2 linked regions of the Oreochromis niloticus genome follow. The protein of the gene in region 2 purifies or fractionates together with the protein of the main gene of each other region. This does not show direct contact. Links are inferred from orthologs where the notes say so. Each region holds a gene or a part of one and is shown on either strand. Other genes may lie near its edges.

Region 1 (7,831 bases), on a different chromosome or scaffold from region 2:
TGGTGTAATGTACAGCAAATGTTCTGAATCACTAGGCTTGATTTGGAAATGCAATCTTATCAGCACTGTCTTATCACAGTCCTTGATGAGACATTGCTTGTACTTTTAGAAACAACGAGTCTACACCTGACCACGGGACACCCGCATCCTTCAGTTCTGGCAGGTCCCACGGATCTGTGTCCTCCGGCTCATCCACGATCAGAGCCGCGGTGGAATGTGCAGGGCTCGCTTTGATTTCTATAAATAATGGGAAAAAAAGACCATTTTTGTCCTGCTGCACACACACATGTAATTCTGATGAAATCAATCAGTAGCTTTTCCTTACACACCTTTACTTTTATATCCATTTTTCTCATCGTTTTCTTCCTTACATTTGTTTTTTGTAGCCATTTGCTGAAAAAAAAATCAGATTAATTTTCACTCATTTAGCTTTAGTCATACAAACAATACTTACATTATATCGAAGTTATGGCAATATTTAGATCACACAAAGAAAAAACGCAATATTATACATAAACTGTAAAGCAGCTTGCTGTTATCCCTAAATGCAGCAAGCATTTACACAGAATGATGCATCGCTGTGTAAAATTTCCTCTATTTTTGCAGCAATCTGTTAGAGTGATGATTGCAGTTAACTAACAATGCAGCAAACTAAGCAAAGATACAGAAAACCTCATTCAGCTGTATCGACTCCTCGCTTTTTAAAACAAACTAATTTTCTCCAGCAGGTATTGGCTTCAGGAATAACACACACACACACACACACATCTTGTCTAATGCCAGGGTATTGATCTTTGTGTCACATGTAATTCCAGTAAAATTCCAGTCACTGGACAGTATGACAAAAAGAAAACACTCTGGGGTATGTTTCATCATTTTGCTATTGTTTATACTTTGATAATAATTTGTAAAGCTTCTAAGTGTGCACTATTTGTCTAAGCTGTGCCCGGTTTTCTATCATTACTCGTTCATAAGAGGATTACTGCACAGCTAATATTGAACGTCAGTTTTAGTTTTCACATGCTGGGCTTCAGTGGACCACATCCAATCACTTTCAGACTTAATTTCAGTGTTTTCTGTTCTGAATTCCAGCTCAAGTTTTGTTTTGTTTTTTTCACATGAATGAAGAGCCACGTGCATACTGTATGAGCAGTATGCATGTTAAAACATATTTAAAACATTAAGAAATAAATAAAATTTCAAAAACTACACACATCCTTGTGTTGCCATACAAATGTTATAGTTCATGAACTCTTGACCCATACTGATTCTCCCCATCCATCATATAATTTTATTAATTTAAATACTCCAGATTTGCATTCAGTTTTCAGTTAACAGCAGCAAAAATAATTAGAAGATTGACTGAGACATGTCTGTCCTCACCTGTGGCAGATGTAGTGTGTCCATCCTTCCCGTGCACTTTTTACTTTGGCCTCAGGTTTAAAAATGCTGCCTTCGTGCAGATAGAGTAGAAAAGGTGGGAGAGGGGTCAATGTAGACCAAATGAAAATGTGATGTGCAGTGTTCACATCACCGGGAACACTTCCGTCACGATGATAAGAAGAACACACCTTCCAAACTTTGATTAGTCTTACCTGACTCGGCTTTAATCTTTCTGCCAGTGGTGTTGCAATCCAACTCACATTGTACCTGATAAGTCTCAGGCTGGTGGCGTCAGCTTTCAACTGCACCTCCACACCTGCTGCTAAACTTACCTTACCGATATACTTTGTACGTTTTACACGCAAAACTCATAATCAGTTCTGTTTGCTTGTCCCATTTGAAAGTATGATCATCCATTTAAAACATGAACTTTTAAAGCAAAAACTCTGTACTTCATTTAGCTGTTAAAAAATAAAAAAATAATTCTTTGTTGCATGTCTCATGCACAGCTCTCAGAGTGAGGATAGCTCCAGCTGGTGGACCCTGAGATTAACATGGGAAAGAGGTGACAGACACAATGGATTCCCTGACAAAGATTTATCTATACCACACAGGGCGGTGGGGTGTGATCATTGACTGTAATGGGGGTGGGGTGGGTCTATAATGTCATAGAAGTCCAACTTGAGTGTATTTTTGGAGCATTTTTGGATAGAAATTATTGATTTTCCTAATCCAGCTACCCGTTGGTCAATATTTCAAAATGCCAGTGAACTAAGTTTAGCTCCATAAAACTCTTCATAACAAAAAAAGTAGAAGTCAGTCTGCGCCAAAGTGAAGGACTGAATCTCCGTGGTAGCTGCGCCAACATGGGAATCCAGGATCCACTGCTCTAGTGCACAACAAGCCCCTGTGGGACATTTCCATGTATGCTTCCCATCTGACCAAATGCTCTGTTGCTAATTTATTAGGTTCAGCTTGTCAATGTGGATGCACATGAAATAAATATGAACTCATAATTTTCCATTTTAAAGAAGTGCTAATGTGATTTTTTTAAGCACTTTTAACAAATACTGAACAGCTTAACTTTCATAAAGGAAATCTGTGTAAGAGGACAGTTTTATTAGAGATCACTGATTTTAGACAGATTAACCAAACAAATGTGTAACTGATCTTTTTAAATGGGGGTAGTTAATATTAATCCAAAAAACAAACCAAAGTGCCACAGTTAACTCAGCAAGTAATTTGTACCACATCTTAGAGCTAACTGAGTGGCCCAGTTATGTAACAGTGTGGTTAGCTCAAGTAACTCTGCAGTGACCTAATGAAACCATTGCCAGTATTGATTGTCCCAGAAGCCACGCTGTGCCCCTCTGCAACCCAGTGCACTGAGGTGCCCGTCTGGTTCTCCCAAAAGCCTACAAATTACAACTCTCCAGCTACAGTTCTGATTGCCTGATTATGCCTTAGCATTCCAGTTTGGCCTTACACCTAAACAGGAGCACCTCCATCACACACCAACACAGCTAAGGCACATATACCCTTTAGCCTGGCATCTCCTGCCATGCAGTAAAACCAAATGGAAGATAACTAAGGTGACAAAGGATACAACTGACCTCATCTTTTAGTTTTCTTTTACTTTTATTGATTATGGCCTCTCTTCTGTTGTACGGATTTTGAACATGCTTAGGATAAAAAGATTCACAGGCTTAATCTTCTCCTTAATAGCAGCATTAAAAGGCCTTTTGATGCATATATGTGCCTGTACATGTCATGTCCTTCTAAGAACCAAGGAAACAATTGTGTTTCAGTTGAACTTCTTTTGTGATATCCAGCCTATTTGGAGCTGAAAGAGGCCACCCAAACACATGAGATATTGGAAAAGCCAGGATGTTCTCTTTTGAGCACAACAGGGCTTATTATGGTAGCTCAAATATGTCCAAAGACACAGACCAAAAACAATTGTCTGTTAAAGAGGACATAAATGAATAGGCTGGTTCTCAGGAGGATGTGAGGCAAAGTCTTTTTCAGTTTACAAGTGCAACAGCATCATCTAGGCACTATACCATGCTATTACAGCACTGCACAATTTAGCTCTTATCACACATCTGTGGCCCTGTATATTATTTTTAATGCAAATCAAGTTGCCATTAATGGTTCCTAAACTGATACATCACGCACGAAGTACAGAAAAATTAGTTGTGCAACTCTGGAAAGCATTTTGCTGTCTGTAAAGTCTAAATAATCAGGACAACATGCATAAAATTATAGTAAAATTTAATGTGTTTTTCAATTGAAATATTATGTAGCATGCATAATGTATATTATAAAAACTTGTAGTATTGTAAAATATAATATGATGAGACATATATGATTATGTGACACACTATGCAAACATCTTGAGTCGCCCCTCATTTTGCTTTCTAGCAGCCAGACTTTCTTGTCATGTTTTTAAAATGTTCTTGAGAAATACTTCTTCAGGTTTTATGATTTATTTGTTTATATTAAATCAAAGTACTTGCACCTGGCTATTTTCACAGGAATGCTTTTTGTTTCTTAAGTCACTTAATACTGACCTATGAATGATTCAACCATGAAAAGGCTGTGTAATTCCGTCCAGTGTGTGCTTACAAATTTGAGCAAACTGGACAAGTGGAAGACAAAAAAGGCAGGCCTAAAAATATCTACACCAGATAAGCAGTATCTAAAAGTCATGTCCAGCAAAGACCTGACACGGGACCTGTGAGATGCATCAGGGGTGTCGAACTACAGGCCTCAAGGGCTGGTGTCCTGCAGGTTTTAGAGCTCACCCTGGGCCAACACACCTGAATCAAATTATTAGTTCATTACCAGGCCTCTGGAGAACATCAAGACATGTTTAGGAGGTCATTTAGCCATTTAAATCAGCTGTGTTGGATCAAGGATACATCTAAAACCTGCAGGACACTGGCCCTCGAGGCCTGGAGTTCGACACCTGTGACTCTAAACCAAGCTGACCCATCTACTGTTCACCAAATAAAAATAATTCTCATTAGTATCGGATCTCTTTGGACGTGTGGCTCTAAAAAAATTAATTCTTCTTACCAGCAAACCAATAGCCATACAATAAGGCAGTTATGATTATGAAAACAATTAAATTGTTTGCATAATAATAGGTGAAGATGTGAACCGGAAAGTGACAGAAATTAGTTCACATCCACTAGAGGGAGCGGGTAGACATCATTGGTACCGCTTTAACAGCCTTTTTTTTTTTTCAAAATAAAAGACCCAGTTGAGAGCTCTTTCAGATGTTTTAAAGTAATAAAACTGCAACGATATTATTTTTTTATTATTTGGAATGATGTTCATGGGAGATTACATTCCAGCAGTAAAACTGAGCTTAACACGTTTTCTTTTCTTTTCTCATTTTTTGTTAGCTAAACAAATGCAACTTTCCTTCAACTTCCGGGTTAATGTCAGCGCTATCTGTAGCAATGACATTGTACCAAACACTATATAAGTCAGTACGCCGAGTGGCATACACTATGTTAGTTCACATGCTTTGAGTTGTCAGGAAGCTTGGACATTATCGTCAGTATGTCGTCCTCCACTACAGGTTTCCCGGGCGAGCGGCAGCACCAACCGGCGCAGGTAAAAAACGGAGATAAACACGCACTAAGTTAGATGCTAACACGTTAGCTTACGGTAGCTGGCAGTGACTTTGTATGAACTGCACGCGCAGTTTTATGGAGACGGGGGTGTGCTTTGTTGCCCTCCGTTTTAATTTCAGTAATTTGAAGGTGGAAACGTTTGCGTGGATTTCTATGACTTCTAGCGGCTGTTAACTAACGGTAAGGTGTTTGCGTTAACCTGCAGACGCCGCTGAACATTGACTACATCCCCACAGAAGAAGAGAGGAGAGTGTTGAGAGAGTGCAACCAGGAGAGCTTTTTTTACAGGTGTAAGTTTCCCGTGCATGCCAGCTTGATGGTTTAGGATGTGAAAATGTTGTTTGTTGTGACTCCGTCGTGTTTACACTGACATCATTACGATTTCTCCACAGCGGTGCCCTTCTCTGTGATCAGCATGGCTATCACCCAAGCCCTAGTGGCCAGAGGTAATGTTGTTCATACTGTGGAGCAGGGGTGTCAAACTCATTTTACACAGTGGGCCACATTCAGAGCAGTCCAATCTGGTCTTCAATAGGACAGATCAGTCATACGTATTATAAAGTGTTCCTCTTTCTTTCACTCTGAAGATGTAAGAGATGTCTTATGAAAACAATTTATAAAGAAAAGATGTGGGAGTGAATCAGCATGTCACTGTGGTCTTAAATGTTTAGAAAGAAATGTAACTTTTTTTTGTTCTTTTACAGATAATTTTGATCAATTTTTACCACAAAACAACATTAATTTCTATAGAAAATAGTGAAAAACATGAACTTCTGCCAATTAATGGAGTACTAGCAATAATTAAAAAAAAATAAATAAATAAATCTATAATTATAGATAGATACTTTACTAATCCCACACTGTGGAAATTCCCTTGTTACAAGGGTCAGAAAGAAAAAGTAAATTAGACATTATATTTATACACAAGTATTTTTAGATGGTGCTTTTCCTGTGTCTATATTGTACACTTTGACTGCTGTTGGGATGAAGGGCTTGCGATAGTGCTTGTTCCTACACCGTGTTTGTAACAGTCTACTGCTGAAGGAGCTGCTCAGGGGCTCCACAGTCTCATGCAGGGGGTGAGAGGTGTTGTCCATAATGAACACTGGCATGGTTAACATCCACCTCCTCTATGGAGTCTTGGGGACTGGCAAGGACAGAGCTGTTGATGGGTTGCTGATATTTCTGTTTGTAAGATGGCTCTAAAACTGACAGAAAGCACAGTGAAATATTGAAATTTATGCTCTCTTTGTAATTTTCACATTCTCTAAAGCATCCAGAGGGGCGAGATCATTCTGGCCCCAGGGCCATAACAATGGCCCTGGGGTGTTTAACATCCCTGCTGTACTGGAATCAGCACAATATCAGTTAAATGAACATTGTCACATGTTGATCCTCAAGTTGACATGAATGTGTTAAATTTGCAGGGGCTCTGTCTGCATCTCCAAGATTTGGATCTTTACCCAAAGTTGCCTGTAAGTTTGTGTTAAATATGTGGGAAACACACATACACACACTTACCCTGTATTTACTGAGTAGAATAAGAAAAACCTCTCTATTAAACTCAGTTTGTGTTGTTTTCTCATTTCTTTTCTTTGACTGTGTTTGACCCTACAGTTGCTGGTTTCTGTGGCTACCTGGCTGGAAAACTGTCATATATGAAAACATGTCAGGAAAAATTCAAGAGGCTGGAGAACTCTCCTCTTGGTGAGATTATCAGACAGAGGTCAGGCCTGCCTCCACTGAAGTGAGTATCACATACACTTAATTAAATGCTGGCCTGTTGAGATTAACTGTCAGCAGCATTGCCTTTAGCATATGTCCCCTTCTCTACAGATCCCAGGGTCCTCAGTCAGAGTTGGGTGACCCAGACTCTCAGTCTTTTGAACCCATATTCCAGCCTGCAGAGGCCTCGAGCCACACCTACAGCAAAGATTATGGATATGGCTACAGTCCAGACCCACCAGCACAAATGGACAGAGGAGATGACTTTAGTGCTCCAGGTATTCCAAAGGGGCAATATGTGGGTTATTCACAACTGAGTTCTCAACAGTAGCTCACCAAAAGAAGGTCCTGGGGCCAAAGCTTCCTGTTCTCCTTTTGCAAGGAGTTTGCAGCTCCCACTAGCCATCTTCAGTTAATTTTCCACGAGCATGAATATTATATTGATAAAGTGCTCTCTGAATTTTGCTTGCAGCAAGAATAGAAAAGTGCTACCAGTGAATACCAGGTCTTTCCTTTTCACTTGTTACAGTGAGGTGGTCATCAAAGTCCAGCATTTACTAGTTTTTCTTGTACAGCATACATCTGAAATTACTTTTAAAAAAACAAGAGTTGGGTGCACAAATTTGAATTTATTTTCGAGTTTCTCTAATCCACAGAGGGTCAAAAATATATACACATATCTCCCCTGATATTTTGTTGTATGTCCCTTAGCAAGTTGCACCTTAGCCATATGCTTCTGGTAGTCATCAGCAAGCTTCTGGCATAATGCTGGCTGGATTTCTTGGTTAATTTAAATCTGTTGATTTTCTGGCGCAGGTCTGACTTTTTAAGCGTACTCCAAAAACTTTTAATAGACTTTAAGGTCTGAGCTTTCTGAAGGCCACTCCAGCTTAATGGCAACCTGCTTTATCTATTGCAAAGTCAGTTTTAAAGTACTGAGATCATTGTCCTGTTGGAACACTCAGTTGTCCAAGTTTCAATCGTCATTTCAACAAAACTTTCCAGTAGAAATGAACTTTTTAAAAAAAAAAAAAAAAAAAAATCCCATCTTTTGCCCTGTAAATTTCAGTCCAGTC
Region 2 (8,097 bases):
ATGATGACATAACAAGATAGCACTCATCACATTGGAGGTGTGCGCCAAATTTCAAGACTTTTTAAACTTTCCAAGCCCCTCAAAAGCCACTTCATCTTTCATGGTGAACGGCGTTGCCACCAGGGTGCGCCGTTCAGTTTATAATCACAAATTTCTCACTGAAGCATCAAGAGGGACTGATGGTGATATTCACCGCTTTTGAGGTGGCCACGATGAACCTGTGAAAATCAGTACAACAAAATGAAAGACATGACATTTCCTGGTGCCACTAGGTGGCGCTCTACGTATTCCTGACAATGGGCATATCAATCTGTTCAGGGCGGGTCTGACATCATCCCTGTAAAATCTGGTACTGATCACATTGGATTTCATTGAGTTACACTAATTTGTTTCTTCATGGCGAGACCTCAATGTTCGCCATGCTGCTGGGGTCACACCCTTCAGCGAAAACTCACAGTTTTCTCTGGAACCCAAGACCAACTCCTTAAGGCTTTCCTGGAGAAATTTGAGGCTGCAGATGTCACCCATTACAATACTGTACCCCAAAGTGTAAAACATGACATTTCCTGTTCCCACTAGGTGGCGCTGTCCCTGATGTCAAATATGGCAGTTGAAATATGTTCAGGGGTGGAGCCTTATCATATCTGTCCACTTTGGTCAAGATCGGACAATGTATGACAGAACGAGAGGCAATAAGATTTTCATGGCGAGTCATCGAAATTCGCCGTGGCGCCACGGCCTCACCGTATCGCGAAAACTCAAAAGCTCCGCAATTTAACATGGCCCAGGTGTGTAGTTGACACTGACCAAATATGAAGCTTGTCCGATGAAATTCCAATGAGGAGTTCGCAAAAGTTCGAGGCGTGGAAATGGCAAAATTAGAGCCAAAATGTCACCTTCACTTCCAAATGGCGGACTTCCTGTTGGGTTTGCATCAATGGTCCCACTGACTTTTTTGTTCGTCTTGGCATGTTACACATGTGTGCCAGATTTCAGACATGTAGCTCAAACGATGTGTTCGTAGGGCTGCATTTAACAAGGCATAGGTGGCGCTCTAGAGCCATTTCCCAGTGCTCCTATGTAAAACCAATAAAATACAAAATTTTTCACCAGACCTGGCATGTGTGCAAAATTTCAAGAGTTTTTGAGCATGTTAAAGCCCTCAAAAAGGCCCTTGTTTTGCCTGAATAATAATAAGAAGAAGAAGAAGAAGAAGAAGAAACAGAGCAGATACAATAGGGCCTTCGCACTCTCGGTGCTCGGGCCCTAATAAGAAACGGAGCAGATACAATAGGGCCTTCGCACTCTCGGTGCTCGGGCCCTAATAAACGGAGCAGATACAATAGGGCCTTCGCACTTTTAGTGCTCGGGCCCTAATAATAATAATAAGAAGAAGAAGAAACGGAGCAGATACAATAGGGCCTTCGCACTCTCGGTGCTCGGGCCCTAATAAACGGAGCAGATACAATAGGGCCTTCGCACTTTTAGTGCTCGGGCCCTAATAATAAACGGAGCAGATACAATAGGGCCTTCGCACTTTTGTGCTCGGGCCCTAATAATAATAATAAGAAGAAACGGAGCAGATACAATAGGGCCTTCGCACTCTCAGTGCTCGGGCCCTAATAATAATAATAAACGGAGCAGATACAATAGGGCCTTCGCACTCTCAGTGCTCGGGCCCTAATAAGAAACGGAGCAGATACAATAGGGCCTTCGCACTCTCGGTGCTCGGGCCCTAATAAGAAACGGAGCAGATACAATAGGGCCTTCGCACTTTTAGTGCTTGGGCCCTGATAATAATAAACAGAGCAGATACAATAGGGCCTTCGCACTCTCAGTGCTCAGGCCCTAATAATAATAATAATAAAAAATGGAGCAGATACAATAGGGCCTTCGCACTTTTAGTGCTCGGGCCCTAATAAACAGAGCAGATACAATAGGGCCTTCGCACTCTCAGTGCTCGGGCCCTAATAATATGAAACGGAGCAGATACAATAGGGCCTTCGCACTCTCAGTGCTCGGGCCCTAATAATGATAATAAGAAGAAGAAACGGAGCAGATACAATAGGGCCTTCGCACTCTCAGTGCTCGGGCCCTAATAATAAATGGAGCAGATAAAATAGGGCCTTTGCACTCTCAGTGCTCGGGCCCTAAATATAAGAAGAGTAATAAAATAAATATACACTTTAGGACTATCTATCTATCTGTCTATTAGGTTATGTTGTGGTGATTCTCAGGTTGGGGGATGGGTGTTCATACTGAAGTGCAAAATTAAAACCAATGGAAGATGGACAAGTAAAAGTTCAAAGCCATCAGGTGCTCAGTTAATAAAAATGAGAAAAGAAGAGGAGGAGAAACGAGCAAAAGATACAGGTAAGCAGATGTGTCATTGGATAATGGCAGGTCATCCTGAAACAATCAGAATCATAATCAGAATACTTTATTAATCCCTAAGGAAATTATGTGGGTTACAGTTGCTCCAAGAAGAAATGGTAAAAATAGTAACAGTAACAGACTAAACTCCAAACAATACATTATGTTACAGATTTTAATGTTGATTAGTCATTGTCAATTGTTGATTTGTCCTGTTCTCATTGTATGACACATTATGATGGCTGTTTGGTAGCCGTTTGCATACTATCCATACTTTCTCTCTCTTCATATCCGTGTGTGTGTGCGCATTTTTCTCTGGTGAAATTCAGTATGGTTCTGACAACAGTTTTATGTTAATGTACAATCCTTAATACCTTTCGTGCGTGTGTGTGTGTGGGGGGGAGTGTTCGCCCAGGGCGACAAACAGGCTAGGACCGCGGTAGGAATTAGAATCAAACTTATGGGAGAGGAGACCCCTTGGACATAAATCAGCATAATGAGAACTATTGAAAACAAAAGAAAGAATCTTTGGAAAAAAATTATCTGAGGAGAATAAATTTATTTTAGTCTGACCCCAGTCCCATCCGCTAACATGGAGGAGGCGGGGTTTATGACCTTGCCATCACCAGTGTATGAATGTGTGTGTGAATGGGTGAATGACTGAATGTAGTGTGAAGCGCTTTGGGGTCCTTAGGGACTAAGTAAAGCGCTATACAAATGCAGGCCATACTGCAGCCAGACACCAGGGGGCGATAGAGACGTTTTGGCTTCATTTTTGGGGAGCTGTCGCGTCGTCCATGTTTTCTACAGTCATTGCACTGTACCCAGGTGCTTCTTCTCAGTGTTTTTATTTTTATCAGCCTTTGTCAACAAAGGGATGAGGGTCATACGGTGCTCTCAGCCATGCACCGTATGGCTGAAGCTTGTTGCCTGCTCATTCCACTGAGCTAAACCCTTCTTCTTGGTGTTTATTTGTGGTTGAACCAGAATGTCACTAAAGGATTACATTCTCTCATACAAATGTGCTTTCCTAAGATTATTAAAAATTGCCTGATAACTGTTACTTCTTGAGTTATTTCTAAGTAAATCAATGAAATCTACTTTCAGTTTAATTTTATTTAGGTTTTGTCTTCTTTCTTACTCTTCTGAAAGCGTAATATAACATGCTCTATTTTGTGATTATCTCCACAGTACTTGCATTTTCAATTGCAATATTTCCCTAAAATGAATAATGTGCCCATGTCTTCTGCTTGTTGGTTTTCCTGGTTTTTTACCAGCTATTTGGCAATAAAGGTCTGATTCGCACAGTCTCCTCTGAACAGTTAATGTGAAGATGTGTCTGCTACTGGAACTCTGTGTGGCATTTATCTGGGCTTTAACTAGAGGTGCTGGTGACTTGGATGAATTTATCCTCAGCACCAGAGGTGACGCTTGGTCTTCCTTTCCCGGGGCAGTCCTCATGTGAGCCACTTTTGTCATAGCGCTTGATGGTTTTTGCTACTGCAATTGGGGACACATTCAAAGTTTTAGCAACTTTCTGGACTCACTGACCTTCAGTTCTTAAAGTAATGGTGGACTTTCATTTCTCTTTACTTAGCAGATTGGTTCTTGCCATAAATATGAATTGTAACAGTGTCAAATAGGGCTTCACACCTGTGAAGTGAAAGCCATTTCTCTCAGTGAGCTTTCATGAAGCTCACTGAGAGAAGGACAAGGGTTTGCAGTTCTGTCAACAAAGCAAAGTGAGGCTACTGTTAGGAATCTAAAATATAAGATATATTTGGAGTTGTTTATCAGTGTTTTCTTTGCTACATTCTATATATCTTGTTTCATATATTTGATGTCTTCGGTATGTACCTGTAATGTAGAAAGTAGTAAAACATTAAATGAGAAGGTGTGTCCAAACTTTTGACTGATAGTGTATTATAGTAAGTATAAGAAATTCCTTTTTTTTCTAGCACAAATGGTGAATGCGGAAATGTATTTCCTAATATCCCTGTCCATAGTCGGCTACTGACAAGAGCATATCAGGAGTGAGAGCATATCAGGAGTGAGAGTGATAAAGAGCAGTCTAGACCCAGTTAATGACCCATAAGTGGAGTGAGAGAGAGACAAACTGTTACTGATACTGTTGAAAAGTATATGATGAATACATTCATCAGAGATTCCATGTTTGAAATTTATATTTTATATTATTTGTATATTTTGTATATTGTATAATGCTGTACCCTTGTGATTTTTCAGACATGCTGATTATTTTGTTTTCTACTGTCGCAGGCACCCAAGTGTAAATCAGAGCTTCCATTTTAAAATTAGTTCATGTGTAGCAATTCCAATTCAGCTCCACATTACTTTGCATTTTAAGACTTTACAAATGACTTATTTATGTATTTTTAGAGCCTCTATTTTGATAGCAAAGTTAGGACAGAGCAAGGTAAAGACACACTTGGCTTATTTTTTGAGCCTTTCCACTGCTCTACAAAGATGACTTTCACGTTCTCTCATCGTTACCAACCTGCCTGGCCTGCAACACTGGGCTGCCTCAGACTTGAACATTGGCTCAAAACGAAGTACAACGTTGTCATATCGCTTATAAACATTAGATGGCAGTATTGTTTTCCACGGACGTTATCCCAGAGGCAAAAAGAAAAAGGAGAACTTCCTGTCTCTACCGTCTCTCCAAAAATGGCGGAGGTGTGTGGTCAAGTGTTATTGGGATCAGGGCTTACTGTGCTCTCCCATCCTTTGATGTACATTAAAGTCCTGATCCAGGTAAGAGGCGGAGAGTTTGGACAGATTCTGTTACGTTTCCTTTCAGGGCCTGATTCAGACACTCTTTACTTATCTTTGTAAATACTGTAACTCTCGCTAGTATCTCTCTAGAAGAGGAAATTACCATTCATTTTCACAGTGTATTGCCTCGTTTACCAGTAAATTAATACGTTTTTAGCACACACAGAGACCTTTAATAAGTCTTGATAACTATTTATTTGAGAATATAGCAGGAACTCTCCCAGTAATAGGATCGGCCACATTATTGTCCCCGTCTGTTGTCCCTGTGACCTTCTGTTTCCTCATTGCTGTGCAATAGGCGGAAGCCGTGTGTTAATCGTTTTCGAAAGTTAATAATTGACTGCAATGTTACCCTGCTTCATTTATATTCTGTGCGCAGATTGAACAAAAACAATTTGTGTTCTAGAGACATAATTCTACATAGCTCATACATGCCTTATTTTCTAAGAAAGCCAGCGGCGTTAAGTTGCCATTTGTTGAACTGCTAGAGATAACCGCAAGTTAGCTGTCAGCTGATTACCTCTAACGCCACTTTCTGTAGTGTCTTAGACTGATGTCTTCAACACACAGTGTATATTCATAAGTTTGTCACTGGGAGAAATGTATACTGTTTGCTTCTCAGTTACGATTACTGGTAGCTCAATGCCTTTAGCTCTTGAAAAACATGAAAATTACTAACACACACGAGCACGAGCACATCAGCAGAGGACCGGGGACTTGTATCAATTAACGTTTGCTTAATTACAACCAAAAATAGCTTACAGTTCAGGTTGATCTTAATGACAGAACAAGTCATTAAGTGATAGAGTGATAGTTTTACTAGATGCTAACAGTTCTCTGCCTTGTGTATACCGTGTCCATATTTGTAGCAGTCGGCTAATCATCAATTGTGCATGAACTGTTTGGGTTATATATGAATGCAGCACAGTGCACAAACTGGTGCCCTGTCAAACTTATGTGATATCTGGAAACATAGTTTTGTAAAGGAAAAATAACCAAATAAGTGAGTGCTAAATACTAAAATCAAAAGTCAACATCATCATAAAAAAAAAATAAAGATTTGTCTGTCTGTTTCTTCTTGCTATGTAGCTTGTGATGTGTTCTGTCTCACTCTCAATGGTCTGTCTCTCTACAGTGCCATTCAGTACTGGACACAGTCCTTCCTGGCTCTGTGCAAATAATCTAACTAAATATCTATTGGAAAAACACACTAGAGGAGATATCAAGCTGTACATGATATTCTGCAGATAAAAACTTCTCTTGCAGCATTTTTGGTGTTTTGCTGTATTTCTCTAGGGTACATAAAGACAATATTTGTTCCTCCTATGGTACCCTCTCATTGTTTTTGGTTTTGTGTGTGTTATCAGGTAGGACATGAGCCGCTCCCTCCCACCCTGGGCAGGAATTTATTTGGAAGACAAGTCTACCAGCTACCTGGACTGTTTGCTTATGGCAAGTTTGATTCTTGATATTTTTATAAATGGAGTTGGTAATATCAGTATTACAGTGCTTTGAATGATTGTATGTAGATATTTAACCTTGTAGTTCTACCAATATTTACAATGTACCCTGCTCTGCACTAAATGTTTCAGCAAAACACATCATTAGGATTGATGGAAGAGCTGGTCTTTTCAAAGGACTTGGTCCGAGGCTTTGTGCAGGCACTATTGGCACAGTCGTACACAGCAAAGTTGTACAGGTAAGCCTGAATAGATAGGTTTGCCACAGAAAGGTTTGATTAAACAACTATGTCCAGATGAACAGAATCAACTTTTGGAGATTTACTTTCCTGGATGATTGAGAATGCATCAAGACGATTAAACAACTAGTTTCTGTTTAGTCTTTTCTTTGGATTTTTTTTAGATGGTCATTTATTTCAATCATTTGTGATGCATACTAATGGCCTTCGTAAGTGACCTATGTGCTGGGACTAAAAATGGCATTGACTTTGAACTCCGTTTCTTACCATCTGTGTTGTAAGTGTAACTCAAAAACTGTTCATTCTGGCTGCTTGATAACCTCTATCCTCTTACAGAAATGTCAAGAACAAGGCACCCCACAGGTAAGTTTTTTTTTTTTTTTAAATCCTATTTATGGTCACAGTATGATAAGTTCAAAATGTTCACTGACTCCCCATAAAATGCAACAGTTTAGCCCCTGTCCCCTTCAAGATCCTTTCCCTGTGCAGCAACGCACCACTCCCCGCACTCCTATATTAAAATCTGTTGTTCTTTCACTTCTGAAAACTTGAAAAAAGTTGTACTGTATTGCCTGGATCGCTTATAGTAGAGCATCTAATACTGTTTTGTAACGGGTATTAAGTGTGGGAGTAAGGATCAGGTTATTTTTGAAAATAAATGTGGTAGAAAAATTTGTAAAATAAAGTAAATTTATTTTAGTAACTGAATAATCTATCGATTATTCCATAGTTTAATCGAGTAATCGGATAAGAAGTACTTTTGCCTTTAGTAGTGTCAAAAAGACACTACTAAACAAAAACTAAACCCTCTGATTGATTACATGTCATATATATGTCTTGATGCATTCTCAATCATCCAGGAAAGTAAATCTCCAAAAGTTGATTCTGTTCATCTGGACGTAGCGTTTTGTGGGAGAAATGTTTCATCACTCATCCAAGTGACTTCTTCAGTCTCAGCTGACTGCAGGTTTCCCCAAATCTTATAAACAGTACATTTGCATAATGACTGAAACCAACCCACTGAAAGAACAATAGGCTGTGAGGTCAGTTCCTTAATCATAATTATGCAAATTCTCATGACCATTGATCAACAATCACTGACCAAAACCCACTGATCAAAGACCACTGATGAATGGCCATGAGTACCATTCACAGAGAGTTGGGGAATGGCTGCAATCACAGCATTGTAAGATGGCGAAAGATGTACCCTTAGGCCCCCTCCTCGATTCAGA

The links.
Region 1: the proteins of mtch2 (region 2) and OCIA domain-containing protein 1 purify together in Homo sapiens (affinity purification with mass spectrometry; 3 studies listed by BioGRID and IntAct, with this or other methods). This does not show direct contact. The link is inferred for Oreochromis niloticus from reciprocal best matches to the Homo sapiens genes MTCH2 and OCIAD1.

What each region holds. Positions count from the first base shown.
Region 1 is NC_031971.2:23,931,320-23,939,150, reverse strand, and holds the start of OCIA domain-containing protein 1, read left to right. Parts: upstream 1-4,803; 5' UTR 4,804-4,956; coding exon 4,957-5,010; intron 5,011-5,235; coding exon 5,236-5,320; intron 5,321-5,422; coding exon 5,423-5,476; intron 5,477-6,457; coding exon 6,458-6,505; intron 6,506-6,647; coding exon 6,648-6,777; intron 6,778-6,866; coding exon 6,867-7,033; intron 7,034-7,824; coding exon 7,825-7,831. Other genes in the region: slc34a2a (solute carrier family 34 member 2a), read right to left, coding at 127-237, 330-393, 1,384-1,407. UniProt on the Homo sapiens protein: Maintains stem cell potency. Increases STAT3 phosphorylation and controls ERK phosphorylation. May act as a scaffold, increasing STAT3 recruitment onto endosomes. Involved in integrin-mediated cancer cell adhesion and colony formation in ovarian cancer.
Region 2 is NC_031965.2:3,929,358-3,937,454, forward strand, and holds the start of mtch2 (mitochondrial carrier homolog 2), read left to right. Parts: upstream 1-4,992; 5' UTR 4,993-5,058; coding exon 5,059-5,145; intron 5,146-6,533; coding exon 6,534-6,618; intron 6,619-6,758; coding exon 6,759-6,865; intron 6,866-7,201; coding exon 7,202-7,228; intron 7,229-8,097. UniProt on the Homo sapiens protein: Protein insertase that mediates insertion of transmembrane proteins into the mitochondrial outer membrane. Catalyzes insertion of proteins with alpha-helical transmembrane regions, such as signal-anchored, tail-anchored and multi-pass membrane proteins.